Linked DNA regions of Lytechinus pictus. The protein of the gene in region 2 binds, or shares a complex with, the protein of the main gene of each other region. Links are inferred from orthologs where the notes say so. Each region holds a gene or a part of one and is shown on either strand. Other genes may lie near its edges. The genes, in order: dynein axonemal assembly factor 10-like; unconventional prefoldin RPB5 interactor-like; DNA-directed RNA polymerases I, II, and III subunit RPABC1; ruvB-like 2.

What was found.
Region 1: unconventional prefoldin RPB5 interactor-like (region 2) and dynein axonemal assembly factor 10-like share a complex: the UniProt entries of both Homo sapiens proteins name them as parts of the PAQosome complex. The link is inferred for Lytechinus pictus from reciprocal best matches to the Homo sapiens genes URI1 and DNAAF10.
Region 3: unconventional prefoldin RPB5 interactor-like (region 2) and DNA-directed RNA polymerases I, II, and III subunit RPABC1 share a complex: the UniProt entries of both Homo sapiens proteins name them as parts of the PAQosome complex. The link is inferred for Lytechinus pictus from reciprocal best matches to the Homo sapiens genes URI1 and POLR2E.
Region 4: unconventional prefoldin RPB5 interactor-like (region 2) and ruvB-like 2 share a complex: the UniProt entries of both Homo sapiens proteins name them as parts of the PAQosome complex. The link is inferred for Lytechinus pictus from reciprocal best matches to the Homo sapiens genes URI1 and RUVBL2.

The regions. Positions count from the first base shown.
Region 1 is NC_087251.1:10,512,852-10,520,724, reverse strand, and holds the start of dynein axonemal assembly factor 10-like, read right to left. Parts: upstream 3,018-7,873; 5' UTR 2,840-3,017; coding exon 2,666-2,839; intron 1-2,665. Other genes in the region: translin-associated protein X-like, read right to left, coding at 6,537-6,995, 7,582-7,752. UniProt on the Homo sapiens protein: Key assembly factor specifically required for the stability of axonemal dynein heavy chains in cytoplasm.
Region 2 is NC_087246.1:39,025,697-39,033,274, reverse strand, and holds the start of unconventional prefoldin RPB5 interactor-like, read right to left. Parts: upstream 3,019-7,578; 5' UTR 1,388-3,018; coding exon 1,166-1,387; intron 733-1,165; coding exon 597-732; intron 54-596; coding exon 1-53. UniProt on the Homo sapiens protein: Involved in gene transcription regulation. Acts as a transcriptional repressor in concert with the corepressor UXT to regulate androgen receptor (AR) transcription.
Region 3 is NC_087255.1:18,058,868-18,066,003, reverse strand, and holds the start of DNA-directed RNA polymerases I, II, and III subunit RPABC1, read left to right. Parts: upstream 1-4,129; 5' UTR 4,130-4,658; coding exon 4,659-4,715; intron 4,716-7,136. UniProt on the Homo sapiens protein: DNA-dependent RNA polymerase catalyzes the transcription of DNA into RNA using the four ribonucleoside triphosphates as substrates.
Region 4 is NC_087253.1:12,090,854-12,098,716, reverse strand, and holds the start of ruvB-like 2, read right to left. Parts: upstream 3,010-7,863; 5' UTR 2,995-3,009; coding exon 2,935-2,994; intron 1,263-2,934; coding exon 1,083-1,262; intron 547-1,082; coding exon 474-546; intron 1-473. Other genes in the region: uncharacterized protein LOC129267757, read left to right, coding at 6,604-6,861. UniProt on the Homo sapiens protein: Possesses single-stranded DNA-stimulated ATPase and ATP-dependent DNA helicase (5' to 3') activity; hexamerization is thought to be critical for ATP hydrolysis and adjacent subunits in the ring-like structure contribute to the ATPase activity.

The DNA.
Region 1 (7,873 bases), on a different chromosome or scaffold from region 2:
TCTTGTATTTTTGCAAGGAAGTTACCAGAACGCAAAGATAAGAGAATTTTCAGAAAACCTTTTATCTTGATATGTTATCTTGTGCACATACATTATTTAGGCACCGTTTTTAACTTACGCATCATTATAGCTCTGACATATAAGTATGCGCTCAGTGAAAGTTACAAGAAAAGATACAAAAAAATTTAGAATACAGATTTTATTGTAACTCCAAAGATATTACAAGAATATTTCTCTTAAAGGACAAGTGAAGTCCACCCCAACAAAAAGTTGATTTGAATAAAAAGAGAAAAATCCAACAAGCATAACACTGAAAATTTCATCAAAAATCGGATGTAAAATAAGTTATGACATTTTAAAGTTTCGCTTAATTTCACAAAACAATTATATGCACATCCTGATGGGTATGCAAACGAGGAGACTACGACGTCATCCACTCACTATTTCTTTTGTATTTTATTATATGAAATATTCCAATTTTCTCCTCATTGTCAAGTGATACAACGATTAATTCCTCCCTGAACATGGGGAATTAGCACTGTTAACACTATATGGTTCAGCTAGTCAAGTTGGTCCTTATTGTCAAATCTGTAAAAAACGAAATATTGTATAATTCTTTTCAAACAATAAAAAACAAAAGAAATAGTGATTGACATCGACTGACTCACCTAGTTGTGCATATCACTGTTTTGTGAAAAATAAGCGAAACTTTAATAAAATGTCATAACTAAACTATCTTATTTTACATCCGATTTTGATGAAATTTTCAGCACTATGCTAGTTTGATTTTTCTCTTTATTCAAGTTAGACCAAAAGCTTCGGTCTCTGTTATGTTATGTTGGTTGTTCAGCTGAACTCTGTTGGCTTCACTCACCAAATACAGAGACCAAAGTTTTTGCGCGATCTGTACAGGGGACTGAATGGCCATGCGTGTATGTATTAAGTTTGGATAAAACAGGGAAGTGATTTTGCGCGACAGCCGAGGTAAGTCACTGTTTCTGTTCCTTTTAACTTGATTTTTTCCCTGTTTTTGGCAATTAATACCAAGAGGAAATATTAATTTACATTTCGGTCGCATTAATTTTCAAGATTTTGATTCATTAAAGACAAAAATTGAAGAGCCCCGACAGGGGGATTTTGCATTGTAAGTCCCCTAATGGTGGCTGCAGGATAGCAAGCCGTCTGTGTAGGACTACGAGGAGAAATTTAAAAAATAAAAAAAAGTTAAAAAACTCCTCGAAACAGACGGATGCCAGCTGTCTATATTCAAGTCAGCATTTTCCCTAACCCAGGAACTCCCGCCCGCAGCCCAGGAGCTTACCGTGTATTTGACCATACTCACGGGACTAGCGTGATTTATGGTCTAAATATTTTTCCAAATGAATTGTGAAAACAGAAATTATGCACTTACCACGATTATATGGATGAAGGTCTAACGAGTGGCAGTTTCCTGACGAGGCTCAGACTGGAACTTCAAAAAAACGAAAAGTTCTCTCCTTCTACCCCAGTCTCGATCGGCCATTTTGTTACGATTCATAACACAAATGGCCAATCGAGACGGGGGTAGAAGGAGAGAACTTTTCGTTTTTTTGAAGTTCCAGTCTGTGCCTCGATGTCAGGAAACTGCCACTCGTTAGACCTTCATCCATATAATCGTGGTAAGTGCATAATTTCTGTTTTCACAATTCATTTGGAGAAATATTTAGACCATAAATCACGCTAGTCCCGTGAGTATGGTCAAATACACGGTAAGCCCCTGGGCTCCGGCCCGCTGTGCGGGCCGGAGCTCCCTGGGTTACATTTTCCCATGACATGTTTCCTGGGGTGGACTAGCCAGGCGGCTTCTAGAGAGTAAAAATCATTTTCTAACGTAAGGTCACTCTCATATGAAGCCAGGGCTTCCGTCATATACTTTTGCGTGTACCACCAAAAAACCTGAAACTTTCGCCCCCGAAATTTCTACTTTCTTTCTAAAAGATCTAGCCCTAAATCATGTACATGGAATAAAACTTCATTTCCGACATTTCTACGCTCTCGTTGTTATTTTTGAACAAGAATACATCAAAAAAATGAGAGAAATATTGTGTAAAGACGGAAGAGACTCGCCCAATGTTTACGCCGCCATCTTGTTTTCTATTGTTCTTCCCCAACGTTACCCGACGCACACGTCTGTAACGTTGGCGAAGAACAATAGGAAACAAGATGGCGGCGTAAACATTGGACGAGTCTCTTCCGTCTTTACACAATATTTCTCTCATTTTTTTGATGTATTCTTGTTGAAAAATAACGAGAGCGTAGAAATGTCGGAAATGAAGTTTTATCCCATGTACATGATTTAGGGCTAGATCTTTTAGAAAGAAAGTAGAAATTTCGGGGGTGAAAGTTTCAGGTTTTGGCTTCCATTGTGTGGGTCTATGGGATAGAAGGCCTGGCTTCATGAGATTGACCTTACGTTAGTAAATGATTTTTACTCTCTAGAAGCCGCCTGGCTAGGCCCTAGGGTGGACTTGATTGACCTTTAACTAGGGCCTAGGCAATTTTCAGAATACGGCCCAGGTCAGTAAATGCATTGACATGGACAAGTGTGGTGTGACTGGTGTCCATCTTGTAAAATCAATACCACGGCAGTGCCACCTCCCCGCCGGAACAACGAATCTGATACTACCTCGTGTATTAATTTAGGTTCTCCTTGATCCATCTCGAACACTTGCAAAGCCCCCGTCTGTCTCGGGTGGCAACCAAGCACAACGAACCGGGCACTTCTGGGGATCCATTTCACGTCGTATAGCGTTATGTTCAAGGATTTTGTAGCATGAATTATGATCTGTGGTTTGTCCATACTGAATTTCACACAAGTGAGAATTACGTCGGAATCAAAATATACTGTTAATAGTATCCGAATAGATGGAATTTGCAATCGGCGTCCCGTTTCTAAGCGCTAAGGCTAAGCTAAGACAGTGTCGAGATTGAGGAAGTTCTTCGCGATATCGATACGGCGGCGCTCGTGTATTATATATATGGGTAAAAGCAAGACAAATTAAAAAGGGAAAACATATTTACCAAGCAAGACTTCAACGACGTGTAACTTTACCTTTGTGCAGACCCAAAGAGGGCAGAAGGCGGGGGGGGGGGGGGGGGTGTGCACATCAGTGGTGGAACCGGTGGGTGCAACACCAAATCCCACTTTTTTTAATGCTTTTTGTACAAAATGTGTTTAAAGAAGTGGATTCCCTTTCCTTCCCCTCCCCCATGGTCAACCTTTAAAAACTTACATAAAAAAAATGAAATATGTTATCTCAGCAAAATAAATGAAGAAAAGCCGAAGAAAATTTCACTTTTACTAGTTTCCATTTATTATTCAAGGGCCTGTTTCATCATAAGTCTAACTTCTTGACTAAATCGGAGATGGTGAGCTACTTGTCCTCTATAACCATTTCATGAAGCCCTTTTTGCCAAGATCGGGGACAAGAACCTGACTAAATATTTATGACACCTCCGAACCAGTCATAACTTCTTTTGTAATGACGTAGTGGCATCAAGTGGGTAGACTCGTGCCTCAAAATTTGAAAATTGTAATCTTACATACAGTAATTAATCATAGAAGTTGAAATTACATTGCAGAACAAGTGAGACGGCTCATTCAATGATAATTGTAAAACACCACAAAACCATTCATTTTGAAATAGTAAAATAATTGAATCAATAAAGATTCTGCCACTGGACTCGTACTCATGGTTCTCAGACCCTTTTCAATATTTTGATAAATACAATCTCTAATTTATGCATAGAATTTGTCAAATCATATCTTTCAGTATATCTATCGATTTACACAATTTCTGTTGCACTATATTTTGATGATGTATGGAATAAAAAAAAAACGTTTATCATCATTTTACAAAGAAAACCTTAATGGTTTCATTCCGTATATCTCGGGGCTACACATCTCAACGTCCACATGTGATTTTCAGTAATGAAATGAATTCTTTGTAATTTCATTTTATTAGCAATTAAAAGCTCCAGTCTTCATAAATAAATTTACTTGATCAAACCATGCTCATAAACAACCTTGAGCATATTCAGAAGGGCAACAACAGTACTTGACTATTTATTTCAAGTCTGATAATGGGAGATGCACAATGATGGAGAGAACAGGTCATGTCTGTTTCATGCCGAATTCCAACAATTTTGCATTCTTGTTTTCATTACTTTTTTAAAATAATTTTTTGAGGTCAAGTTAATAATTCACTGTACCTTTATTAATGAAAAAAATTAAATGTTCACTTTCGCAAAGTGCAATACACTTGTGGTTTGCCCTTCATTGGTCATCTTAATGTACTCATCACTTATCCATATTTTCTTTCAAATTGGTGCATTAATTCCCTATAAATCATAACAAATATCATTTTAAAAATCTTTCTCACCCTTCTGAACTTGCCAAAGTTTTTGATTTGATGAGCCTGGATAGATCAGGGGAATGTCCCTGCTCAGATCCTGGATGGGAAAACATGCTATAGAAAATGCAGAAACACAGCAGTGCTGCGAACTTGGAATGGACTGAAATGCACCACTATTATGTAACAGCATATGTATTCAAAACCACTGAAGCGAGACCTATGACATTTTCATAGAAGTTAGAAAATGAGCTTTCTACCCCTGTACATTTCATTGATAATATTTCCACATTTTAGAAATAATTAAGCCAAATGTCAGATATATAACTTTTTTTTTTTTTAACAGGATGCTTTTTTACTTGGCAGTCATTTTCTGATAAGTCAAGCCTAATAACGAATTTGCTTTAAAAAATATATCAAATCAAAGGTCATCAGAATTTTTGCTCACGATTTTCATACTTTGTGTGAGGTTTAGCGTAATCCGGGTTGTTTTTGCCAGGAAAGCATGAAAACATTACTATCCATGTCCCTCAGAATACCCTTCCAATCATTTTCCCTCAAATAAGATGACCTCCCTTTTTCAATTTTTCGTGTGTTAGTGGTCGTTTTACATTGCCATTTTCCTTTCAGTGTTTTTAAATGCAATATTCTTGTGAAATTATTTGTAATGATTTTGAAACTTTAATCATCCATCGAGTCTAAATCTGTACTCATGCTTGTAAACAAGTCGTCATTCCCTCCAGCCCTACAAGTTCCAGAAGTATTTGGCAAATTAATCTTCTTACACACTGACACACCCATAACTATAATGAATAAATAGATAACGGTAACTCAAATTTCTCTGATTTTAATTTTCTTGCCCATTTCTGAAAAAAAAATCTTTCTTACAACATGAACTGATTCCTTATAAGAACTTACATTTTAATTAAAACTGCATTTAAAACTTTGAGCAACACAGTTTAAAAAGACAATTTACATTGCCATTTCATCATAACACAGGAACTATTCACAATTTAAGATGCAAAAGAGGAATGACCATTACAGCCAGAATGAACTATGAAAACTTTCTTTTAATAAGCCTTCATTCAATATTCTGAAAAAGTTCAATAATTTGTAGATATTGACATCTTCAAATAACAAAGGCAAGACTTGAAAAATAAATGTAAATTGGAAACAGTTATTAAAGATAATCAGAATTCATATGCATGATGACAAGATACTAAATACCCAGTGTTGTCAAATGTCAATTTTTGACTTTGAGTATGATACATGATCATTAAAAATTTAATGTAAAAGTAAGTTTTAGTCAGATGAGCCCACCTCCACGCCTTGAAATCATGATTCGTTTTTTTGTTTGTTTTAATTTTGTTTAAGCATTCAGCTGGCATGGTGAGTTGAATAATAATTCAGGTGCTTATCTTGAAACAAAAATGTATATTGTCCATCCACATAATAAGAAGTTTCATGAATCTTACTTTCCCTGGCTCTAATTCTTTGTGAAAATGATACAACATACATAAATACAACCCATTTTTCTTTTTTTTTTCCTTTGGAAAGGCTGCTATGTATATTTATGGTATTGGATCAAATAAACAATCCAAACGATGGTTGTCACTGGAAGTAAGGTTATAGATTTGGTTTGTCTGGAGTCGGATTAATCGGTGTGAATGTGGTATGATGTTGAAATCCAAGAAAAGATATTAATCATTGGCAACTCAGTATAAAAGTTTATGATTCACCCGTGTGTTTAGTTTTCATGATCACAGATCATCTCACAGTTTTCACTGTTCATATATATACTTAGACATGTGCCTTGTATTATAAGAGATCGATCACAAAGCTTAGCATATGATTTTAGAACAAATTTTGAATGCAATGACCACCATGTATAATCAATTATGACATTAAATTATCAGTAATCATAAATGTTAATATGTTTTATAAGTTTACTAAGGAGTTACTGAAACTTGATATCATCAATGACACAAATGAAAATATCTAAAACTATATCTTGAACACAGTCATCATTTCTTGTAAGAAGCCTGTGCTAAATCAGCGTCCTTCAGTGTTTGTTTTGGAATATGGGATCCCTTTGAAGTAAGCCTTTATTATTAAGATTCTCAAACTTGAACCAGACAAACTAAATCAGTCCATCATTTCTTGACCATAGTCATCATCTCTTGTAGAAAAGTCTGTGCTGAAAGCAACATCCTTCAGCATGTGCTTGGGAATCTCAGATCCCCTGACTTTGATTACATAGCAGGCATCCTCCATTTTCTTCAAGCTCTGTCTCATGACCGATGACTTGCGCACCATCTCGCGCCCTGCTACATTACCAAGTTGCTGGAATCCTCTGTTGATGTTCCTCATGAAATCAACTAACTGAAAGGGTCTCTCTAGGTCTCCGCTACCGATAATGTTTATACACATGCGCATGAGTTCCCCTGTGAAATCTGCCAGTCCAAGCATGTATTCAAGAGGTGGAAGTTTCAGAGACAATGTCCTTTGGTCACTACCACATTTTGATTCCATTAATGGATCTTGAATCTCTGTGGGATCACTGGCTTCTGGTTGACCCGTTACTCCATCAGCTTTCTCTGCTTCCTGTACAATTAACAATATCAGTACATTGACATTATATGCAAACTACAGAGAATTTCATTTTACAAAACCTTTTTTCCCAATTTCCCAAAATATACATTTTGAAATCAATCTTGATTTGAGTTTGACTTCAAATAGCAAATTTTTTGTAAGACAGACCCATAATATCAACAAAAAGACAATTTCAATTCAATTCAATGCAATTAATTTTATTCAATCATTTAAAAATCAAAATATACAAATCATACATGAATAACATGAAAGAAGTATTTTAGCTCATGCTGGGTCATAGAATTGTATAAGTAACTCTGAACACCATTTTTACAGAACTTTAGACCACTGGATGTCGTCACATTATGATTGAAGGTTACTTTATACCCTGGATGGGTATAGAGTCTACTTCAAGAGAGAAAAAAAATTGTATTACACCTATATCAGATGGGTATCACCAATTCCTTTATACGTTCAGACTATCATACCCACTAATTTTATTTAATTTCTAGTTTTTATTCTAGTTGTGATTATCATAGACTTTTAAAGAATGAAAAAAATGAACCAGTAACAAGAACAAAACCAAGCTTCGACTAACCTCATTTTCAACCTGCTTGATGTCATCTTTCAGAGAAAATGTGAGTCTTGTAGCAATTTCATCAAGTGATAGAAGTCTTCCATTTTTGATGAAGAGATAGAATGAAACAGCCTCAATATACTCTTGAAGTCCTGGTGAAAACGCTCTGATAAACTGATGCAAGTCTTCACCCTAAAAGGGAGAAAATGTGGATGTGAAAATAAGAAATAAGAATACTTGAATTTATTATTTCTACATATCAAATGGGCACAAATATCAGAACAAAACAAACAGAAATAAGATCCCTCTTCAG
Region 2 (7,578 bases):
GGACTCTAATAGATACTGTTGCTTCTTCAGATCATTCATCATTTTCTGTACATCTGATAAAAGAGAGTAATACTTTCATTTCTTTTTTTTTCATTGTCTCGTCTTACTTTTCTGCTACTAGGGTTGGTTCAGCAGGGACAATATGTGTGGTTGGGAGCGATTTCACTCCCAAAATGCTCAAGAGCCCTGAAAAAGCCCCAGAAATTCCCCATTCACTGCAACGTTATTAAAACTTATTCAATGTTGCAGATTTGAGCAATTGGTTGTGAAAAATAGCCCCCCCCCCCCAAATATATATATTTTCCAGTATGCAAAAACAAATTTCTAGTCGTTTATCACTGTGCTAAAGAAGTCATCTCACTATTTCATCTCCTGTGACTCTTTACTACCAGTAATATTACTACCAGCAAAACTCTTATATGAAATAAGGCTATGAAATGGAAAAAAGGTTAATGCATATCATTAACCTGAATTCACATTGTTATTGGAGAGCAGGGGAACTCCCCTCCACCTTTGAAATGTGGATGGTCACAGAGAAGTCTCTCAAACCTTCACTCTAAATCAGACCTTTGGACAAGACCCGCTTATCTACTCACATGATTTCCTCCTATCGATGATCTGACAGGCTTGTGTGGCTGAACGCTCTGCAAACCAGTTATCACCAAGGAGAACGAGTATCTCATTGGTATGGATCAACTGACCAGGCATGAAGGCTAACTTGCCAAAGGGAACCTGTAGAAAGACAACACGGTAAAAGACAGAAAGAGATGGAAGTGTAAGGGGGAAGTAAAAAAAACAGATATATGGACAAGAAAAAAAAAACAGAGAGATGATAAAGAGAAAGTCAGGAGGAGGAAACAATAATACTTGAATGAATTTGCACCTGAGGCTAGAAAATAAAACAATTTTTATTCACTTGTCAACAAAAGTTCAAATCTCAAATTTATTTGGTGGTGAGGTGGGAATGGATTCAACACATAAGCCACGCCAGCATAGATCTGTGTCACAAAATTAGTTACAGGATAAATTTTGTGGCCTCAAACTTATTACAAACTTCATATTAACTTTCAAAGAATGAATACTATCAGGAAAACAGAAAAAATGAAAAACAAACAAAGATTGATTATAAAAAAATGTATTTACTAGTGTATATTTGATTTCTTACCATAACTTCATGTGAAACTTTTTCAGGTAACGTTGTCAGTCTGGCCTTGAGAGCTGAATAGTCTTCATCAAACTTTTGCCATTGCTGTAATTTGTCTTTAGTCTCAAACAAGGCTTTCTCTTCTTCTTCCTTCAGGCGACCAATATGAGCAAGATCACCTCCTCTCGCCATTATACAACCTGCATGATAACAACCAAATAAATAATAAATTTCTAATCTCATACTCTAGAATGTATTCTTCTGAGAGACCTAGCTGTGCTTCTCCTGGTCACCAAATTTTTCTACTCTCTAAAGTTCTGGCAAAACAAAATGTAGTGTACAATCGTATTTGCAAGTTGTTACTGAGGAAGAATAAAGAAATACTATCTATACCCAGACAATCGATTTTAAGCAGCCATTTGGAAAAGTTAAACAAGCAAAGTTTTGTCAATTTTTCATACAAAGTGTTAAGTAATATTACAGAGAATGAAATTGAAGATTACAACCATTAAATTCTAGTGTAATCAAAAGACAAAAAATAAGCGTGGAGCGTTGTGGCCCAGTGGATTAGTCTTCGGACTTTGAAACAGAGGGTCGTGGGTTCAAATCCCAGACGAATGCACGATCTCCCACAGTTATCTTTGTGTTACGAGTGGGGATGAGAAGGAGCAAATTATCGTGAGAACTGCACAGGTTATGAGTGTGTATAGACCTGTGAACTTTGCGTCGTAAAAGCTCAGAAATATAGTTGGGGGCTTGGCTAATTAGTTCCTTGTATACAATTAACAAAATCTTGAAAGATATTCGTTGGCGAACTGGAAGCCAGTGCAAATCTTTTACGATAGGGATGATCCTGGAAAATCTAAGTTGACAACAAATCAGTCGTGCACATGTGTTCTTTACTCGCTGAAGATGCCCAATGTGAGACGATGGGAGCCCAGACAGCAAACTGTTACAATAATCTAGCTTACTAATAATGCATGCATGGACAATATTGTTTTCACACTTTCATAATTAAAGTAATTTTGTACAATTTTGTATATCATACGAAATGACGATTTACACACATTTGTAATATTTTTTTTCCATAGTCAATTGTGAGTGAAAATATACTCCCAAGATTTCTTACATTAGAATTTGGTTCTATGACTTAACTGCCAACTGATATCCTGTCAAAATCTAGCTGTTTAGATGTACTGATAACTAGCAATTCTGTATTACTGTCATTTTTTTTAATAGCATAAGTTTATTGTGCAGCATCCATTCACGTATGTAATCAACACATTCTTCCAGGAGAGAGATGCTCTGCTGCTGAGCAAGTAAGTCTGGTGTGAAAGACAAATAAACCTGTGTGTCATCTGCATAGCAGTGGCAAGATACTTACTAAATTTACTATGGATATTTGTAATTAGTTGACTTGTGTATAGAGTGAATACCCTTGAGGGACTCCGAAAGGTACTGAGAAAATTTCAGAAACAGTTTCATAAATTTTGATTTGTTGACATCTGTCAGTTAAATGATTACCAAACCTTTATGCCAAAGTGTTTCTTTAGTGCATGCAATAGGTTAGTATGATCAATAGCATCAAATGCACTACTAAGGTCTAATAAAAGTAATAAGGTGACTTTCTTTCTTATCATCCATATCCATGAGAATATCACTCTTGAGTCATAATTCTTAACAGTGTCGTTCAGTACTGTGATACTGCCTGTAGACTGACTTATTACTTGGAACAAGGTAGTTGCAGTCGAGATGATTCATTATTTGCGTATATACAGCACCTTCTACAAGCTTTGATACATACCTCAGATTACTAACAGGCTGATGATTACAATTTTTTTCTTCCAAACCAGGTTTATTCAATAATAGTTGAACTACAGTGCGTCCCAAAAAAAACTATACACTTTTGAAATGGCTGCCAAATAAAAAAATGTACCACTTTGGGGGAAAAGACTTATAGATATGGAAAGCCTATAAAGTCAACTTTCAAATGACACCAAAAAGTTGGAAAACTATTCATGCTTGAGCGAGCACTGCCCACTGAAACAAAGGGTATGAAAATTAGGGTGGGCTGGAATTAGCCTTCCAATTTCTTTCAGTTTTTTTTGTTTGGTACTTGCAAAGTTGATGGTTATTTGGTGAATTAAAGATCAGTTGTGATCAGTTTGTTGTTTGTGAAAATTTAATGCGTTATTAAATCGAAATTTAATGCATGAGTGATCATGAATTGGGTGCAGCATTTTGTCTTATCATGTGGGTCTCAACAATGTGTTCACGACAGTCAGGAGAAGAGGGGGTAATATGACTTAGGTAGGTGAAGTACGTTGGTGGGATAAAGGTCAACAGAACATTTAGCAACCCCTCTCTCAATCTCACCCCCCCCCCCCCCCCCCCGCTTATCTCCCCCTGAGAGACTAATATGCTCAGCTAAAGTAGGATGGGCAGGAATTAGCCTTACAGTTTTTTTGAGTGGTTAGTCCTTTGGAACTTGTTAAGCTAAATTAATGAGTGAGATAAGTTTTGGTTTCTTAGGCAAATTTCATGAGTTACTAAATTGAAATTTAATGCATGAGTGAACAGGAATTGTAATTTTATTGTTGCATATTTATCTTGTGAACCTCAGCAGTGTGTTCGTGAGAGTCAGAGTAATGTGATGGTACCCGTTACAAGCAAGAGGGCGAGATATGCTAAGACTTGGTTAAAAGGGCATTCCTCTTCTTTTTTTTCCTTTTACAAATTAAAAGTCATATGTACCCTCCCCTCTCCACCTCCATTTCCCAGCCCCCCTCTCTCTGTCTCACTTCCTGCATCATTTGTAGCCTATTCAAAACTTAACTGCCAAGTGACCGGTGGCTGATGGTCAGTTTTTTTTTCAATGATTACCAAGAAATTTAATGATTATGATGATTAATGAAATAATTAATTGAAAAAAAACTGAATGTTTGATTGATCACATTGCACATTGAATAAGTTGATTTACTGATAAATTGTTGATTAAATGATTGATAGGAAAAAGTTGATGTCCCAATTCAGAATTAATCATTAAATCAACATTCTGCTCTGGACTTCACGCGTACATGACAATAGCCATCAGTCTCTCAACAGGAGGGAGGGCGGGAGAGAGGGAGGGGCGGGGGCTGAATGTTCTGTTGACCCTTATTCCATCAACCTACTTCTCTGACTTAAGTCCTATCTCACCCCCTATTCTCCCGACGCCCATGAACACATTGCTGAGATCCACATGATAAATTTGAAATGCTGCCCAAAAAGAGATCCAAATGATAAAGTTTAAATGCTCCCCAAAAGTTGTAACTTGTGTTCACTCATGCATTAAAGTTCAATTTAATAATTTACTTAAAATTTGCTTAAGCAACCAAAACTGGTCATGGTTGATCATTAATTTATCACATCGCCCTTAACTTTGCAAGTTCGAAAGGATTTGCCTCTCAAAAACTTACATAAATCGGAAGGCTAATTCCAGCCCACCCTAATTTTCATACCCTTTGTTTCAGTGGGCAGTGCTCGCTCAAGCATGAATAGTTTTCCAACTTTTTGGTGTCATTTGAAAGTTGACTTTATTGGCTTTCCATATATGTAAGTCTTTTCCCCCAAAGTGCTACATTTTTTATTTGGCAGCCATTTCAAAAGTGTATAGTTTTTTTTGGGACGCACTGTAGAGCAGTTTTCCAGAGTGAAGGGAAATGACCAGATGACAATTCAAGATTAATTAGAAATGTGATGGTGGGAATCAGTGTGTCAATACGCTGTAGAAGAATCTTTGTGGGCATTGGGTCTGATGCACAAGACTTTTTACTGAACTTGGTTATAGGTTTTTTAACTTGGTTGGAAATCCTTTTTTTTCCTTGCTCTGAAAGAAGAGTAAATTTCATAAAGTCAGGTTTTCGTGGATCTGCATGACTTTCTTATGAAAAAAATTGCCTAAATCATTCACAAAGCACTGTTTGTTACTAGTGATGCATGATGTAACAGATTGCTTATTTGCAATATTCAACAGAGACTTCACAACTCAAAACTGCTTATGATCACCTTTGTTTTCCATAACTAAACCATTGTGATGGATTCTTCAAGCTCATGTAACATACATGTATGCAACATGTGTTTGTGAAGTGACTTATACCCATTCCAATCGCTCTCCATCCTAGAGTTTAAGTTTTAACCGATGCTTTTCAACATTCCTTTTCTGTATTTTTGCGATCCTTACATTATCAGTGAATAAAGGCAATTGGGGTCACAGAACAACTATATTACATGTTCTGCATGCATGTTTATCTAAGATACTATTTAGTGTAATGTATCATATAATGAGGCGAATTCTTAAAGATCACAAGCTGTATGTTTGCAAAGATTATTATCGGCTATATCAAGCTTCTTCGTAAAAATATCTATTACTCCAAGCCTACGGAATGAAATTACTTTAGAAGTGGAGGTTTGTAGGAATTAAAGAGTACACATAACAGGAATATGATCGCACAAAAGTGTGTCCAAGGTTTGCCGATTATAATTTCATCTACCTGTCGATAAATCAAGTCAAGGGTATGACCATGAATAAGTGTACTAAAATCAACCAGTTGTGTACACAAAAAGAGACTGGAGCAGATCCGAGAAAGAACTTGCCTCTGCAGCTCTGCTTTGACAGTATCCACATGGATATTACAATCTTTAAAGGAGAATGAAACCCTTGAAACCAGCTGAATCCATATCAAAGAGAAAAATCAAAGAAACATATTGTTGAAAGTTTGAGGAAGATTGAATGAATAATAAGAAAGTTATGAGCATTTGAATGTCGAGATCACTAATGCCATGTAGATCCTCCAATTGGCAATGCGATTATGCGACCAAGATCTGTGATGTCACACACGTACAACTCCCTCATTACTTTAGTACTTATTTCACTTATATTCTCACTTTTATAGAGTCTATCACAAGGTGAGGTGTTCTCTTTATGAGAGGACAAGTACAGAGGTTTCACAACATTACATCATTGATGAATCGTTTGTCATATGATTAGAATGAGCAAAAAGAGATGTTTTGGGGTATATTTTCAGTGTCCAAAACTGGGGAGAGTTGTTCATCTGTGACATCATAGATCTTGGTCGCATTGCCAATGGGAGGATCTCCATAGCATTAGTGATCTCGACATGGGGATTATGGTGAAATGTCAGAATTGTTAAGGAAATCCCCAGAAACGTAGCCTGGAGGCGTCTGGGGAGTGAAAGTATATACTGTACGTATGGTCACTCCCCTAACGCCTGGCATTGTGATGCATAGAGTCCTACCTACCGAGGGAAAAGGCAACTATAAAAATGCGCCAAACTGCTAGTTATGTTTAGAATCTGAGGTCACGACTGCTGTACATGGGTCACAATATTGGTTGGCAACGTTTGGCAAAAAATGCGTAGTAATGGTTAAAAAATGACGAATAAATTATATGAAGTAATAAAAGTAGAAGAGAGTTTACTTACACTTGTTGACATCGCCATCTTTGATCCTTTGTAATTGCAACCTAGTTACGTGACGCGTATAGAGGGCGGCAAAATCATGAGCGGTGCTAGATTAAAAAGTGCTAAAATGTCCCGCTTCAACCACTGAACTAGAAATACATAGAGAAAACATATTGCATCTTGCCTTCTACGGCGTTTGGCGGCGGTCACGTGGCTTATCGAGTTCGCCGCCGGCGATGTTTTGCTTGGGTGTACACGACTTCCACGTATTTCTAGTTCAGTGGTTGAAGCAGGACATTTTAGCACTTTTTAATCTAGCATCTAGGGAGCTCCCGCCCGCGCAGTGGGCGGGAGCCCAGGGGCTTACCGTGTATTTGGCCATTGTCACCGGACTAGGGTGATTTATGGTCTAAATATTTCTCCAAATGAATTGTGAAAACAGAAAGTATACAATTACCACGATTATATGGATGAAGGTCTAACGAGTGGCAGTTTCCTGACATCTGGGCACAGACTGGAACCTCAAAAAAACGAAAAGTTCTCTCCTCTACCCCAGTCTCGATCGGCCATTTTGTTACGATTTTTAACAAAAATGGCCGATCGAAACGGGGGTAGAAGGAGAGAACTTTTCGTTTTTTTGAGGTTCCAGTCTGTGCCCACTCATGGGATCAATGCATCTCGCGTGCGAAGGATTCATATGCACATGGTGCACGCGAATCTTTCACACACTTTTTACTAAAATAACTATGCCATTCCATTTAAATAATGTTTCTAATTGTGCTACATGTATGACACTTACCGAACCATATGGATCGTTTCTTGACTTCTCTTTGGTGTGTTTTTTAATAAAATAAAAGCATTTTCTCGTGATCTTCACGTAGATGCCGCAGTATGATCGTGGGTATCAACTTTTAATATTATTCACAAGACGTTTGTTTACGATCTGCAGCTTGTACTGCTAGCTGCATTTTA
Region 3 (7,136 bases), on a different chromosome or scaffold from region 2:
TAGAAATCCACTGCCAAACGCGGTTCGTGGTGCGGGGTTAGTATACTTAATACGTGTGAGTGGCACAATTCCAGCAGATTTTTTCTTCAGATTTCTAAAACTGGTCAGGACTCAGGCAGGCAATTAAATTATTTAGGATCACTGAGTGGTATGGACCATGGCTGAAAATCTGCTGTTTCAGAGGAATGTTTAAGTTTTTATTATACACAGAATTATATCACCATGATGCCGATGTCATGAAGCCAGACAAATTTTCAGCAGTGATTACCCTGATTCCTGGCCAAAATCACTCACACGTATTGCGAGGTTAGTATTAGTATACTACTAGTACGTATTGCGAGGTTAGTATTAGTATACTAACCACGAACCGCGTTTGGCAGTGGATTTCTAACTAGTGGGTCGCGCGTGCTGGGATCTCACTTCTTGGGTCCACGACTTCTATTGCTTGAATTTTCTGTGCGCGGCGGCATGTAATGAACCCTTGGGTGGGCCAAAATTAGAGTCTGGTGTTTCTTTCTGATTAGAGTGTTGCTGCATATATGTATGCGTAATGCCTTCAACAATGAAGATAAATGCAATCTTTGTAATGACACAGAGACTCAGAGAGCACCGTACCTCAAGTGATGTTCGTGTAGTCTCCACTTCACTACTGGAGTACTGCTACAGCCTACACTACGCTACACACTTACCCGGGTAGGTGTGGCGTACATGTACGGTAGTGTAGCGGTAGTGAAGTGGAGTGGGGCCTACACAAACATCACTTGAGGTAGAGCTCCAGTGTTCTGAGTGGAACTTTTCAGGTGTCTAAACCTACTATCATTTGTTGTTGACCGGGAATTACATGCCACCGCACGTCATCAATCATCACGATAATTAAATTCATACTTTGATTTGATTATTTAAACTATTTCTTTTTTTCTCTCTTCTACACACAGATCTGCACAATTGCTAACTCTGGTGACTTCTGGTCTCTGCTTGCTACCTCAATCTGGGAGATTCCATCTTGTCCTTTTACTATGATTTGGATATAGCCATTTTTTTCTTCACTCTTTCCAGGACCTACGGTTTGCAAGTTGTGGAATGATAATGATACAAAAGAAAAAATTTCTTTATCAATCTTGGAAACAATTTTGAGCACAGTTTTGGAGAGAACTAAGAAATTTTACTCGGACAGGAATACAGCTTGTCAAAAATAATAACACACAATTTAAAACGAAAGAACAATTTTAATGTTACTAGGGCATTTTGCGAGAAATGTTATACTCAATCACACGTCCCAAATCAAGGGAAAGTCCTTTGATTAAACATGTAGTTGAATTGCGATTGCAACTCGACCTTATTACGCTTAAATTTGAATTTAAGACTTACGCTTGATTTGCAATTGAACATAAGTTTCTTGCAGTGCCCCATAATTATGTTTTGTTATCAGATATTTAACGTGCTGATTTTTCTCGAAAGGTATAATATATTTGTCCTTTTAAACGGTATTTGAATATGGGTACGCCTTTTATTTGTTTTCCACAATATTTATTGCATGTATGAACAGAAGTGAAATATTTATTGTGAAGCACTGTGAATGTTGTGTGATGGTTCATCATCAGACTGAAAGCCTGGTGGATGTGAGGAAGTGGCCTGGATGAAAGAAAAGTGAACATGTGTCCAATTACTGATTTGCATATTCTAAGACAATTTTGTTTCTGGATAAATTTTGCTATGCATTCCCTACATTAAGAGTAAAGGAGAAGTCCACGCAATCAAAAATTCATTTGAATTTAAAGAAAAATAACAAGATATTGCAGGAAATTTCATAAAAACTTTGATTCAAATTTATATAATTACTATTTTAACAGTTCCGTAAATATAACCTATTGTGATCAGATGAAGAGTTTCCTATCGTCAAATCTGCAAAGAATAAAAAACAAAATGCCACAAAAAATATAGAAACGAATGTGATGTGAGTGACAACTCTAATTTGCATATCATTGTTTTGTGTATATGACTGTTTTGAGTAAAAACAACAAGGGAAATCACTCTATTCAAATAATTTTTAGTTGATGTGGACTTGACTTTTAACTCTACCCCTCCCATCCCAAATAAGAGTAGAAATAATCTAATCAAGAACTTGAAAATCAAAAGCAGCAATTAAGAAGCAAGATTTGATAAATACAGGTCTGAATAGAATTTCACAAGAAAATAAAAAGAGAAAAAAAAGATGGGTAGGGACGGGGAAGGAATAAAAAAAAAATACCCAGAAAAAAAAATCCGAGTTTCGAACCAGGGTCCTCGCACATGACAAAACAATGGCCAACGCATTTGGCCACAGACCATCGCCCTAACAGGAAGGCATTTTTAAGATATATGAAAGAAAGTCCGCTCGCCGCCGTTTCCTAATAATGCTTCGGCAATTCAACTGCAATTTCAGTCATTTCGCGATGGATATTGCCGTGTTTTTTTTGTGATTCCTGACTTTGCTACTTAATAAAATTTCATAATTTTTGTTCAGTCATAAAGAAGAATGTCTATGCTTTATATTGACTATAACATCAATGTGACGCAAGTGTGATTTCTACGTGAAAATATGCTTTGTTTATTCACCTATATTTCTTGGAAAAAAAAAAATTCTAAGCTAAATATCGGTCACCAAAATACGTTAAATGTGCACTTTTTTTCACTGTTCAGTAAATTCAAACTTTTATCTATATAACAAGACCAATCTTAAGAGGAATAAACAATTCTAAGAGCAAAAAACGCTGATTGGAAAGATCGTCTCCAATGGGCTGCTGTCAGCTCAGCTGCTCACTGCTCATTGTGTGACGTCACTCAGCTGGAGCTCGCAAGAGGACCGGTGGAAGGCAGAAATATGGCATGAAAATAAATCATTTTTGAGAGCTGATTTCTGCAATCTCTGATCACTATTTTGAAAAGTGAAGTTATATATCTGATTAGTAATACTTCCCCTTTACAATGATGACCACATAAAGTCATTATAAAATACTTTTGATTCTTTGGATGTATACTTTAATCACTAGCATTTCTGAAGATCGATGTATACAAAATAACAATTCTTAAAATTTATCGCATTAAAATACAAATCAGACAAGTTGATTCGTGAAAGTTTGAATAATATCGGACAAAAAATAAGAAAGTTATGAATTTTTAAAAGTTGTAATAAAAATGGAGACTTCAAATTGGCCGCACTTGTGATGCCATATTGAAGACAAGGACTACTCTTTCACTTACTTCAATATTTAATTTTTTTTTTTTTAATTTTACTTCAAAGTTTATTTTCTTCCATGAGGACATAAAACGATATGATACGTGGGCTATATTTTGATTACTGCCACAGGGGAATAAGTAATTAGGAGAAAACAAAAAACCCTGATAATTAAGTACATGGCCTATGGGAAAGATATCCTTGCCCCTTGTCCATTGGCGGCGGAAGCCAAAAAAATTAGGGGGGGGCGACCCAAATTTTTTGATAAGCAAAAAAAAAAAAGTTATATATCAACCAAAATATTAGGGGGACCAACATAATTTTTTGACAAGCAAAAAAAAAAGGTTATCAACAAAAATTTTAGGGGGGATCGCCCCCCCCCACCTCAAATTTAGGGGGACCTGTCTCCCCCGTCCCCCCCCCCCCCCCCCCCGCTTCCGCCGCCTATGCCCTTGTCATGGGTTACTTACCCAGTTGCCAATTTAAAAATTACATATTCTAAGGGATCTTATTTTTAAAGCAGCTATAACTTAATTTCTTATTGCTTGTCCGATTTCCTTCAAACCTTCATCATTCTGTTTTTCTTAGTTTTCTCTTTGTCAACACAATATTTTATGACCAAGCTTGGATTACCCTTTAAGAGCTTGAAGCAAGTTGAACAATATCATTCCCAGACAGATAGTCGGGCATTATAGATTACGTAGAGGAAGGGGTGGGGTTTCAGGGGAGGGGCGCTTCCAGACCTACAGAAGGAAAGTGATCAGTGGTGCAATTACAGCACTTTAGAATGATAAGGGTTGATCTTTGTTTTATAATTAGACTTCCAGTTCTGATCGAATCGATTTTTCTTTTTTGATACATTTGATACATTTAAGATACGGTAACTTTTGCAGTGATACCTGCCGATCTCCGAACAGCGGAGGAACTGAAACGAGAGAGGGTACATAACTTTTCTTTCTGAATTTATATGTAACCTTACTTTCAGATATGTTTTTTTGTAATGAACCAGACAACGATTTTATCGTTTTTTCAAGCATAAACTCAGTTATTTATGCTTTCTAAATGTTTTCAATTCGTTCTTTTGAGAAATGATACGAGTTTATCATATATTTTCGTATGGATATATCACCATTTTACAACTGTAAGCTCATTTTTTTAATCATTGATTTGTATTTCTGTATTTCTGATGAGGATGTTGAAAAATAAGCAAAAGAACAAAAATTCCCGAATTTTCGATTTCTACGAAACCAAATATAACACGACATTGAGAGATCTCTACGACTACGACTACGTTGCATTGTCCTTCAATTTTTTCATTGTGGAATTTTTATCTCAATGATACCATAGCATGCAAAAGCGTGTGGAAATCGTAACATAATTTTGGAAATTCTTTAGAATCGGGGTTTTTTAGTGAACGTTTTGCAAATAACCTATCCTTTTGATCATGAATGATGAAGCCGAAACATACAGACTTTGGAGAGTTCGTAAAACAATTATGCAGGTAAGTACACGTGCATCAATCATTAGATGATATTCTTGAAATTATTTGTTCAGTCCCACGCGTTGGATTTGAGGTTGGCTAAACTAGGGGACAAATAATTATAACGGCTCTACGAGTCTAATCTAGCGCAGTAGCGGTTTTAGCTGACGTTAGGTTCATGTTATTAGCTCTGACAGTTTTCTTCTTTATTCCTGTTTAGAAAAGGGTCGTGAGAGACGGGGGTAGAAGGAGAGAACTTTTCGTTTTTTGAGGTTCCAGTCTGTGCCCAGATGTCAGGAAACTGCCACTCGTTAGACCTTCATCCATATAATCGTCATAAGTGCATAATTTCTGTTTTCACAATTCATTTGGAGAAATATTTAGACCATAAATCACCCTAGTCCCGTAAGTATGGTCAAATACACGGTAAGCTCCTGGGCTCTTACTGCGCGGGCGGGAGTTCCATGGGTTACATGGGCATGGGAATAAACCACTCGCACGTATTGCGAGGTTAGTATATGCCACTTGTTCACTGCAACCATCCTGCCTGTGGGTACCTGAGGCGATATTCGTGCAGGCTCCACTCCACTTTACTACCGCTACACTACGCTCCACCTACCCGAACATCGGGACAGTGAACCAGATCGGATATTCCGATCGAGTCATAAAAGGTGCACTCACACAACATGCGAGGTTAGTTATAGTATACTAACCTCGCACAACGCATGTGATTTCATAGTGCATTTTGACGTTTTCATTCATCACACGAATGTGAGGGACTATGAAACGCCAAATCTTTCAATATTTTTCCACTATGTTAATCTTGATCGTATGATTTAGGCCCTAGTTCATTTTAAAAATGAATTAGAAATTATTGATAAAGGTGTTTTTATCGCTTACCTCCAAATCTCAACCAGGATACTTCGCTCGGTCCGTCCTTAGTCATCCTTCATACTGCGGTGGAAATTACGCAAACAAAAATCGAAATGCGAATTTTTCCTATCGAACATTCTCGATTCAAGTCGTCGGCGCATAATAGGAAATTGTACCAAAAATCAACAGGTTGCATCTCATGTATATACTTAAAGAAGGTCCTATTTGGTCAAAGTCGTGAGAATTGAAATATTGTATAATTCGAACAATAAAAGATAAATAGTGAGTGACATTATTGACTCTCTCATTTAGATATCAATGAATTGTGCATGTAACTGTTTTGTGATAAATAAGCGAAACTTTAATATGTCATAACTTTCTTATTTTACATCCGATTTTGATGAAGTTTTCAGCGTTAGTCTTGTTTCATAATTCTCTATTTATTCAAACATTTTTTTTCTGGGGTGCACTTGACCTTTAAGAGATTTTCCACTGAAAATACTACATGGAACTTGGAAATACAAATCATAATTTGGTTGAACAAAATGTTTTCTGTTAAAGTATAAAACAGAAGCTAGAGGAACATTTCCTTCACGTATTTTTATATCCAAAATATGTTGCCTTAGTATGGAATAATCACAATGACATAAAATGAAAATGGGTAAAGTACCTTCCTAATGATCATTGAGATTTCGCCTATGGAATCGTTGTTTATTAATTTTCAAAGCTTTAAATAGATGAAAATATACATACATATATATATATATGAACAAAATGATAAAGTCCCGATTGTTTCGCATTACGTGTGTTAGATTGCGGGCGTTTGTGTGTGTGTGTGTGTGTAGGAAGCAAGATTTTCGTGTTAATGTTTGCACAAAAAAGGAGAGGGAAAGGGAAAGGAAAAGGGGAGGGGGAAAGGTAGAGGAGAGAGAGGGAAAAGGAGACCATAAAATAGAAAGAAAACAAAGGAAAGGAAGAGGGAAAAGAAAAGGGAAAGGGAGGGGAAAAGAAAAATGGAAAGAGCGAGAAAACAGTAGGGGAGGGAGAAAGGAAAGAAAAGAAGGGAAAGGAAAAGCGAGAAAGGGAATGGAGGGGGCGGGAAAGGGAGAGAGAGAGAGAATGATGAAGGGGATAGGAAAATGTCAAGTTTGAAGATCTGAATATTAACACTAAAACAAAATTAGACTTCCATGTTTTATTTATAAAAATACCATCTTTTTCATGATTATAAAGGTTCAACGTCCCTGTTCTAGGTCTAACTTCAACATAAATCTACTGGCGCTTTGCGCTTGAATTCTGGATGTCATTCCTTTTTTAAAAGTATAGGTAATCTGTCGGACTTTTCAAATCCCAAATTTAAATCTTAAGCGCAAATGCCCTCGCATTATTTTTCATTTAGATACAGTCCTGTCATCAATATCAAAAATTATAAGTGCGAGCTTCGCGCTGGCATCATTTTTGTAAGTGACAGTTATGATGTTCATATTTTAAAAATGCTTAGAATGTCCATTTGTTGAGGTTTAAATGTCCAAAAGTTCAGCGCTCGCATAATTTGTAAGGTAAATAGGC
Region 4 (7,863 bases), on a different chromosome or scaffold from region 2:
GTTGCTATTCTGTTTATTTTGAGGGAAAATACGTTTTCCGTGATTTTCCGTTTGAAATGCCACTTTCCGTTTCAAAAGGCCCTTTCCGTAAATTCCGTCCGTTTTCCGCGATCGCGGAAAATCACTGTCCCTACAGTGTATACTATCATAATCATTAATAATGGAAAGCACATTGTCATATGTCCTCATCAAATATTTTGTGTGTGTGTGAATTTAGCCATTTGTGCGCTGGAGGTGACATATGGATAAAATTTGTAATTCTTTGTATATGATATCACAATTGTATCTCATTTAAACACACACTACAAGCAAACAAATTATTCAACATTTGTCGCTTCCCATAATTTCAGCAGAATTAAACTATGACTTTAATAGTTGAACTAGAGCCCATTTCATGAAGAGTTATAACTTCATTGTGATTGGCCCCTAGACCCCTGGACTTAAAAATACAGGAATGGTTATTTTCTACTCACCCATGGCTATAGCTGTTTTACCAGTACCTGGTTGACCAGCAATAAGAACAGCTCGTCCTGCAATTTTACCCTCCTGTAATAAGGGGATAAATAAATACATGTAATTAAAGTTAATCCACCCATGAAAGGTCCTTCATGGAAAATACAATGTAGATCCTAAAGAAACTTTTAAAATCATATCATTTCAAATTTCACCCCAAAAGTGGGGTTTTGCTCCCTGGGTAGTATATTTATATATCATATTATGTAGCCTTTCCTTTTTGGACTCCATAACACAAAAGTTTGCAATCAATAAAAATTGCTGAATGCCAATAATCAATCCTGGGCTCTGTAACACGAAGGTTAGCAATTACCATTGCACAAACACTGACCTGGAACCAATCAAAGTGGTTCATTCATACAGCAGAATCTGCACAAGTCAACCTTACAATGTAAGTGGAAAAATCGCTTAACTTGAAGCATTAATTCCCACCAGAACATGCTAAATATCTTTTTATGAATTTTTCCCAATTTGAACAGATTTCTCTGGTCCCCAGACTTGGGCGGAGTCACCTGTTTTTGCAGTTCATTGCAACCCCTTATGTAAAAGGGCCCAGTTGTCTTTCATACCTTGATCATCTCCAGGATGACTCCTGCGGCTCTCCTGGCCGCCGTCTGGCCCACCATACCCTGGGACACATTCCTTGCTTCCAAGGCATCGTCTAGACCAAGACCCCTGATGTGAGAATGCGCTCCTATCCGCTCGATCCTTGTCACCTCACGAACCTCCTGAACCTTCTGTGCTGTTGACTGCAGATGAAGATAATAATGATAAATAATATTGAAGAAAAGAAATAAATATCTTCTCGTCTTCTCTCATCCACTGCATGAATACAAAGTTACTAGTCCAGCAGTGTATCCACTCAAGATTTTTACATCCGTTTTCGGACTATTACTTTTCTATTCTTTTATTCGAGCAAAATAACAAAGAACACAAGACCTACAATCAACATTGCAGAGACCGCCGTTTTCTGTCACAAACGGTTCATACTTTTCACTTATGGATGAATGCTCCACACTTTTTTTTATTTTTTTTTGATCAGTTTTAATGGCAAACAGTCAAACAACAATATTTTTCAATAGAAAAAACGTTATTGATCAGGTTCACCTTTTCCCCATCCCTTGAGCTCTCTCTGTTTTCCCATTTAATTTTAATGTTTCTATTTGTTGATTTTTAAAATATATTTTTCTTTAAGAATCTACTCGTCTTTTCTTTTCTGTTTCTTTATCATGTCTTCATGATCTCTTTCCTTTTTGTTTCCTCTCTTCTCTCTCTTTTAAAATCATCTTTTTTTTTCATCATCATCTGCTATCATCTTCAAAGGGCTCTGCAGCGCTACCTTGAAAATAAAATTAGAATTGGACGCACGTTATGAGTAAGCTGAGGGGTATTTTCAATTTCAACTTGATTTTGCAAGAGCTTTTCATGCTTTTGGAGGCTGTCAACAGTAGAGGCGCACGGCCAATATTGGAGACTGTCTCCAATGTGGGAGATTATCTCCAATATCAGAGACTTTTGTAAAGAATTTGGGTATCCAATTTCAGAGTCTCCAGTTTTGGAGACCAATTTCCTTTGTTTACATTTGCTGCAAAAGGATTACCTTGGGCTTGGCGGCAAATAAAAATGTGATAAGCAGATTTCTCATGAAAAATTGCCCCTTTTCACCGTCTACTTTTGTTTTGATAAGGATTTTTGTTGTCAATCACACACAAAACAAATGGGCTTCTGACCTCAAGGCTCAGTGAGACAAAATTTCGGGTGGAAAAAAATCATGTTTTTTTGGTGTTGTTTCTTTTGTCCTTTTGTAAAGCAAGTCTCCAATGTGGGAGATTGTCTCCCCTGTTATTGGAGAGAGTCTCCCATTATTGGCCGTGCGCCTCTACTGGTCAAGCGAAAAGTATTTGACATGTATATGAAGAGGGAGTTTAATATTATTCCATTCAGGGACAGACTGTTGGGCAAACAAAGTTAAAAGGGCTGGGTTTGAAAAAGCCTTTTTAAAAAAAAACACATAATACATAACATATTTTTTCCCTTCTGACAATATTCTGAGACTGAGTTTTAAATTCAAATTGTTTTATCTTTGGCTTTGTTGGTCATGTTACTTCAATACTTGTTACTTTGTTAGTTATTTCTCTCCTCTTTTTTTTACTGGATTAACATGACTCATGAGCCTGAGTTCCTTGCATTATTTTTTCTTGACTTGTCTTGGTAACTTTTGGCTCCGAGCCGGCTCTGTCGCTCAGCTCAGCCGCTTTCCTTCGCCTCGGCTTCAGCGGAGCGGTGACCTTCTATCGAATCCTCCTGTATACTCATCTTGGAAGAGATTGGTCAATTACAAAGTGAACCTGCTGACCAAACACAACACATGTCAAGGAATCCTTTCCAAGCCATCTCTTAAGTACTGGCAAGACTGTATACCTCCTTCTGCCAAACTCCTGTACCCGAAAAGTGTACTCTCTCCTGTCTTACGAAGAGCATTTGTGGTGAGAGCTCAACTCCTTACAGCCACCTACTTAACACAGTGTCGTCTCTTCACGCTGAAGAAATCAACCAGCCGCACTTGCCCTCTATGCAAATCTACCGACGAGACTGTGGAACATTTTACTGGGCAGTGTCCCAAGCTAGACCATCTCCGTCAAGTGTTTATTGGCAAAGTCAAGGACTGCCTTGTGGACTTCCCAACATGTGTCGATCTATATGTCAATGCCAACCCACTGGACTTTACTCAGGCCACCCTTATACCATTTCACTCTTGTTTGCCCAAGGAACTACACAATAGTTTACTCCTATTATCTCTCTTTTTCCTCCACAAAATTGATGTATTCCGTACTGACATGGTTCAAACCTCCTAAACCAGAATGACAGCGTATATGGAACATATCTGTTTACCTTGGACCCTAGGAATCTCCAAATAGTGGAGGGATCAGCTAAGAGTAAGAGAGAGAGTCGTCCCGAGTTAGGCCGCCGCGCCGGCTGATCCGTTGTCATGCACAACATACAAAATTTAAACACTGTGCTCTGAAATCGAGCAAAAGTCAATCAATTAAAGTAAGAATTCAAATACTACTAATTCAACTGTCACTAGTATATAATCCTCCTCAGTATCCCTACGAACAAATAAAATTCAACAAATCAATTAGGCTACAGAGTCATTTATTTCATCAAGTTACGAGTCAAATTTACAAAACCCACGCGAACTTACCGCTGCCATTTTGATCTGTGATGACAACGCTAGCTGGCGCTTTACCTCCGAAAAAACGTGCGAAGGGGAATTCCCTGCCGCTCGACAGACTATTTCTTTGTGCTTTTGGCTTGCTCGAATTTTATCCAGGTGATAGTAAATTTTGAAAGCAAGAGCTGAGCCTGATCTGTGAATTTAGGAATGCCGCTAGGTAGCTGCCAAAGTATCAAGATCGATTAGGAATGTGAGCTGAGCTAGGTAGGACCGCTGGGGATAGTCGCACAGGCCATGTGGATTATCATTTTAATGCCTCGATCACTGGCGTGCGCGATTTAGTTTGGGCGCATGTGAAGCGGGTTATAACACATTTTCTTGATACTCGTATCCTAATTGCACATAAGCTTCATCGCATGTTCCAACACATGGGTTGTACGAGTATCTTCAACTTGAGCGAGCTGAGCGTGAGTGATCTTGAGTTGGCATAATTATGCAGGGTGACCATATTTCACAAAATGAAATACGGGACAATCGACAAAACATAACAACTTAAGTCTAAACAAGAAGGATAAACAGTGTTAGACTTGTGAAAAATATATTAAATAATTGGAAGGGCGGGTGAACGAAAGAATGAAGAAGAGAAAGAAAAGATGACAGAAAAGAAATGAATTGAGAAGAAAGACTGAAACTAAGACAAAGTGAAGGGAAAAAATAAAAGAAAGTTAGAAAAAAAGAATAAAAATTAAAAGAGAAAAATGGTATCCATCATTCGATCTGTGAATTGAATATAGAAAGGAAGGGAAGATGAATAAATGTGTGAAAGATAAAATGAAGGAGAGAAAGAAAGTAGGAAAAAAAGGAGGAGGAAAGAAAGAATGAAGGAAATAATTTTTGTTCCTTCATTGAAAGAAAGGAACATACGAAGAAAAACGGGAAAGGAGGAAGGAAGGAAGGGAAAGAAAGAATAAGGGAAAAGAATTATAAGGGATAATAAAATAAAGAATTAAAGAAAGGAGGAAAGAATGAAGGGAGGAGAGAATGAAATAAAAAGAAAATAATGGAAGGAGAAAGAACGAAAAGAAAAAGGAGAGGAAGGAAGCAAAGAAAAGTTTAAGGAAAGCAAGAATGAAGGAAATTTAATAAAGAAGGCAGGTAAGAGAAAGAAGGAAAGAAAGCAAAATGAACACGGAGAGAAAGGATCAGGAAAGAAAGATAGGAAATAAAGAAAGGCGGAACAAAAAAGGCAAGGAGGAATAGAAGGATGAAGAAAGAAGGATAGAAAAGAAAGAAAGTTCAAATTTAAAGCAAACAAAAACTATCCAATCTAACAAAAATCATAATGATATGGTATAATCGTGATATAGTCCCCAAATCCAAAAATGGGGATTATTAGATTCGCACAGCTCGAGAACTTGCGAAATGATAACACACACAAATGAAACACACTTACACTTGGGTTCTCTCCCTATTATATACTCGTGATACAGTCCCCACTCTACGGGAAATCAAGTTTGATTTTCACGGCGGTGGGGACAGTTTCAACAGTATAGTATACTCGTGATGCAGTCCCTGTGCTATGGGATACACAGTTCACTTTGCACGCAGTGGGGACAGTTCCAACAGTATAGCTATACTCGTGATACAATCCCCACGTTATGGGATACACATTTCATTTGGCACGCAGTGGGGATAGCTCCAACAGTATATTATCCAAACAAAGTGTGTTTCATTTGTGTGTGTTATCATTTTGCAAGTTCTCGAGCTGTGCGAGAGTTGGGGACTGTGTTCTGGAGAAAGGAAGTGACTTTCATGCGTTCTGGTAGGTGTGATTCTAATAATCCCCATTTTTGGATTTGGGGACTATATCATTATGCCAATGATATTTGGTGTTTTAAATATATTTTAAAACTTTTTTCAAAATGAAATGTTTTAGAAATGAATAATCTGAGAATCCATAATATAATTACCGGTAATGGCAATGCAGTTTCGCACTGGCAGATTACCAGCATGCATACCTCACTACCAGTAACGTTAATTGTATGCAAATGTTGTGGCAAGGCTCTCAGTGACATATTCCAAGGTCAATGTGACCACCGGCACTGCTTTTCCAAATATTACATTCAGGAACGGTTGTATTTAGCTCCGATCTCGACGTTATTGTTCAACTTCTCAGTCAGACTTCGCTTGGCTTGGCTTCGCCATAATTTTGATATGAACTGAAGTTGGCGACCAAAAGATTTGCCTGGCCTGCGTGTGGCATGCGGCAGCTCACCAGCCCGTTTGTGTGCCGCCACATGTGCGCATGATTTTGGTTGCCAACTTCAGTCCAAATCAAAATTACAGCAAAGCCAAGTGAAGCAATATCTGACTGAGAATTTGAACGACGTCGAGATGCATGGAACCCGAAATACAGCCGGTCACGATATTTGGAAAAGTGGTGGGCATACTGACCTTGAAACGTGATTGAGGGACTTACTATGACATTTGCAAGCAAGTTCTGTGGTGAGGTATTCTGGTAATCGGCTGGTGTGAAACTGCATTAGTGCTAATGGGAGTTACAAAAACTTAAAAAGGATAGTCTGCCCATATGGCATTTATAATAAGTACCTTGGGTTGATACGAGTCGAAGGGCAGGGACAGGTTCATGAGTTTGCTAGGATTATGAACAAGGCAGAGGGATTCTTGTCAACACACCCTCCGGCCTGCCCTATTAAAAGTGAAAGAAAAGGAAACAAAATGCTAGGAAACAGGGAAAAGAAGAGGGGAAGAAAAAATAGCTGTGCTGAAATGAAAGCCCTGCTTCCGCTCCCTAGGATATAATCAGTGGGATTAAAAAAAATTAACAAAAATTGCATTGTTACCCTAATGCAGTTCAATTTTCATCTGTATCACTTCATAGGTTTGAGAAGATGTCCAGCCAGGATCACCACCCAATTCACTCCGGAGATAGAGGGTCTCGTCCCCATCAAGGGGGGCGTGGCAAGAATCATCGTCAAAAAAAGAGGGGTCACATGAAAGGTCAAGGGAGAACAAACGAGGGGCAGAGCGAGATTGACGCATTATTCAACAAGGCGTTCACTTTTCAGAAGACTGATGATGCCTTGTGGAGATTACCATCCAAGGATCAATTATTCTGCAGTGCTCCAGAATCTAATTCACAAACACAGGTAAATTTTGATCTCTCTTATGGCGTGTTGCAAGAAACCTGCCAGCAATTACAAGTAAATTTTTGGTCCCTAAATCAATCATGTCATGCAGTTAATTGCAAATTAGTGACTGATTGCTAATTTGCTCCTTGAAACAAGAAGTTTAATCTGATTTGCTACAGCTAATGGTGATCTATCAATTGTAAAATTGCAACAGAATATTTGCAATTGATCGCAAATATTTTTCTTGCAACGCCCCCTATGAAATGACTTCAAAGTCCAATGGGCATCAGCTTTCATAGGTCATGCATTGCTTATTTGCTGACCCCAGACTTTGTGAAAAATATTGAAAATAGCTGTAACAGAGATATCTTTTGGGAAAAGCTAACTTGGTGAAGGTAATTGATCAGTTACGTAATTAATTACATTTTTTAATTGTAATTGTATTTGAAATCTGTAGGGAAAGTAATTGTCATTGACCTCAATTACTGTCAATAACTTTTAATTACATTCAGTTACTTAACAATAAACTTAATTATGATTTAATTCAATGACCCTTTTCATGTCAACTGCTTCAGCTTCAAAGAGTGTAATAGGCAGAATCTGTGCTCTTTAACATAAACCTTCATCTTGTCAGATTCTCTGTAACCTAGAATTGTTGAAATAGGTGGTGCTAGATTGCTAGTACATACAGAATACAAAGTGATTTCATTTATGACTTATAGAAAGTAATTGAAATTGTAACTGTATTTGACAAAAGTAATTGGTCATTGCAATAAAAAAAAAAGTGATTTAATTGAAAAATAATTGTAATTGAACATTTCTTCAATTAAGTAATTGTATTTAAAGAAAGAAATTGAGCCCAACCCTGGCAGCAAGAAAATTTTCGGCCAAACCTGCTTAATCTCAGGCTACTGTCAGGCCAAAGAAAATGAGATAATGAGTTTACAATAGGGCAGTTTTAAAATGGTATTACAGAATGTATTCTGGGCCTTATTCTCTTTCTACTTTTGGTAATTTATA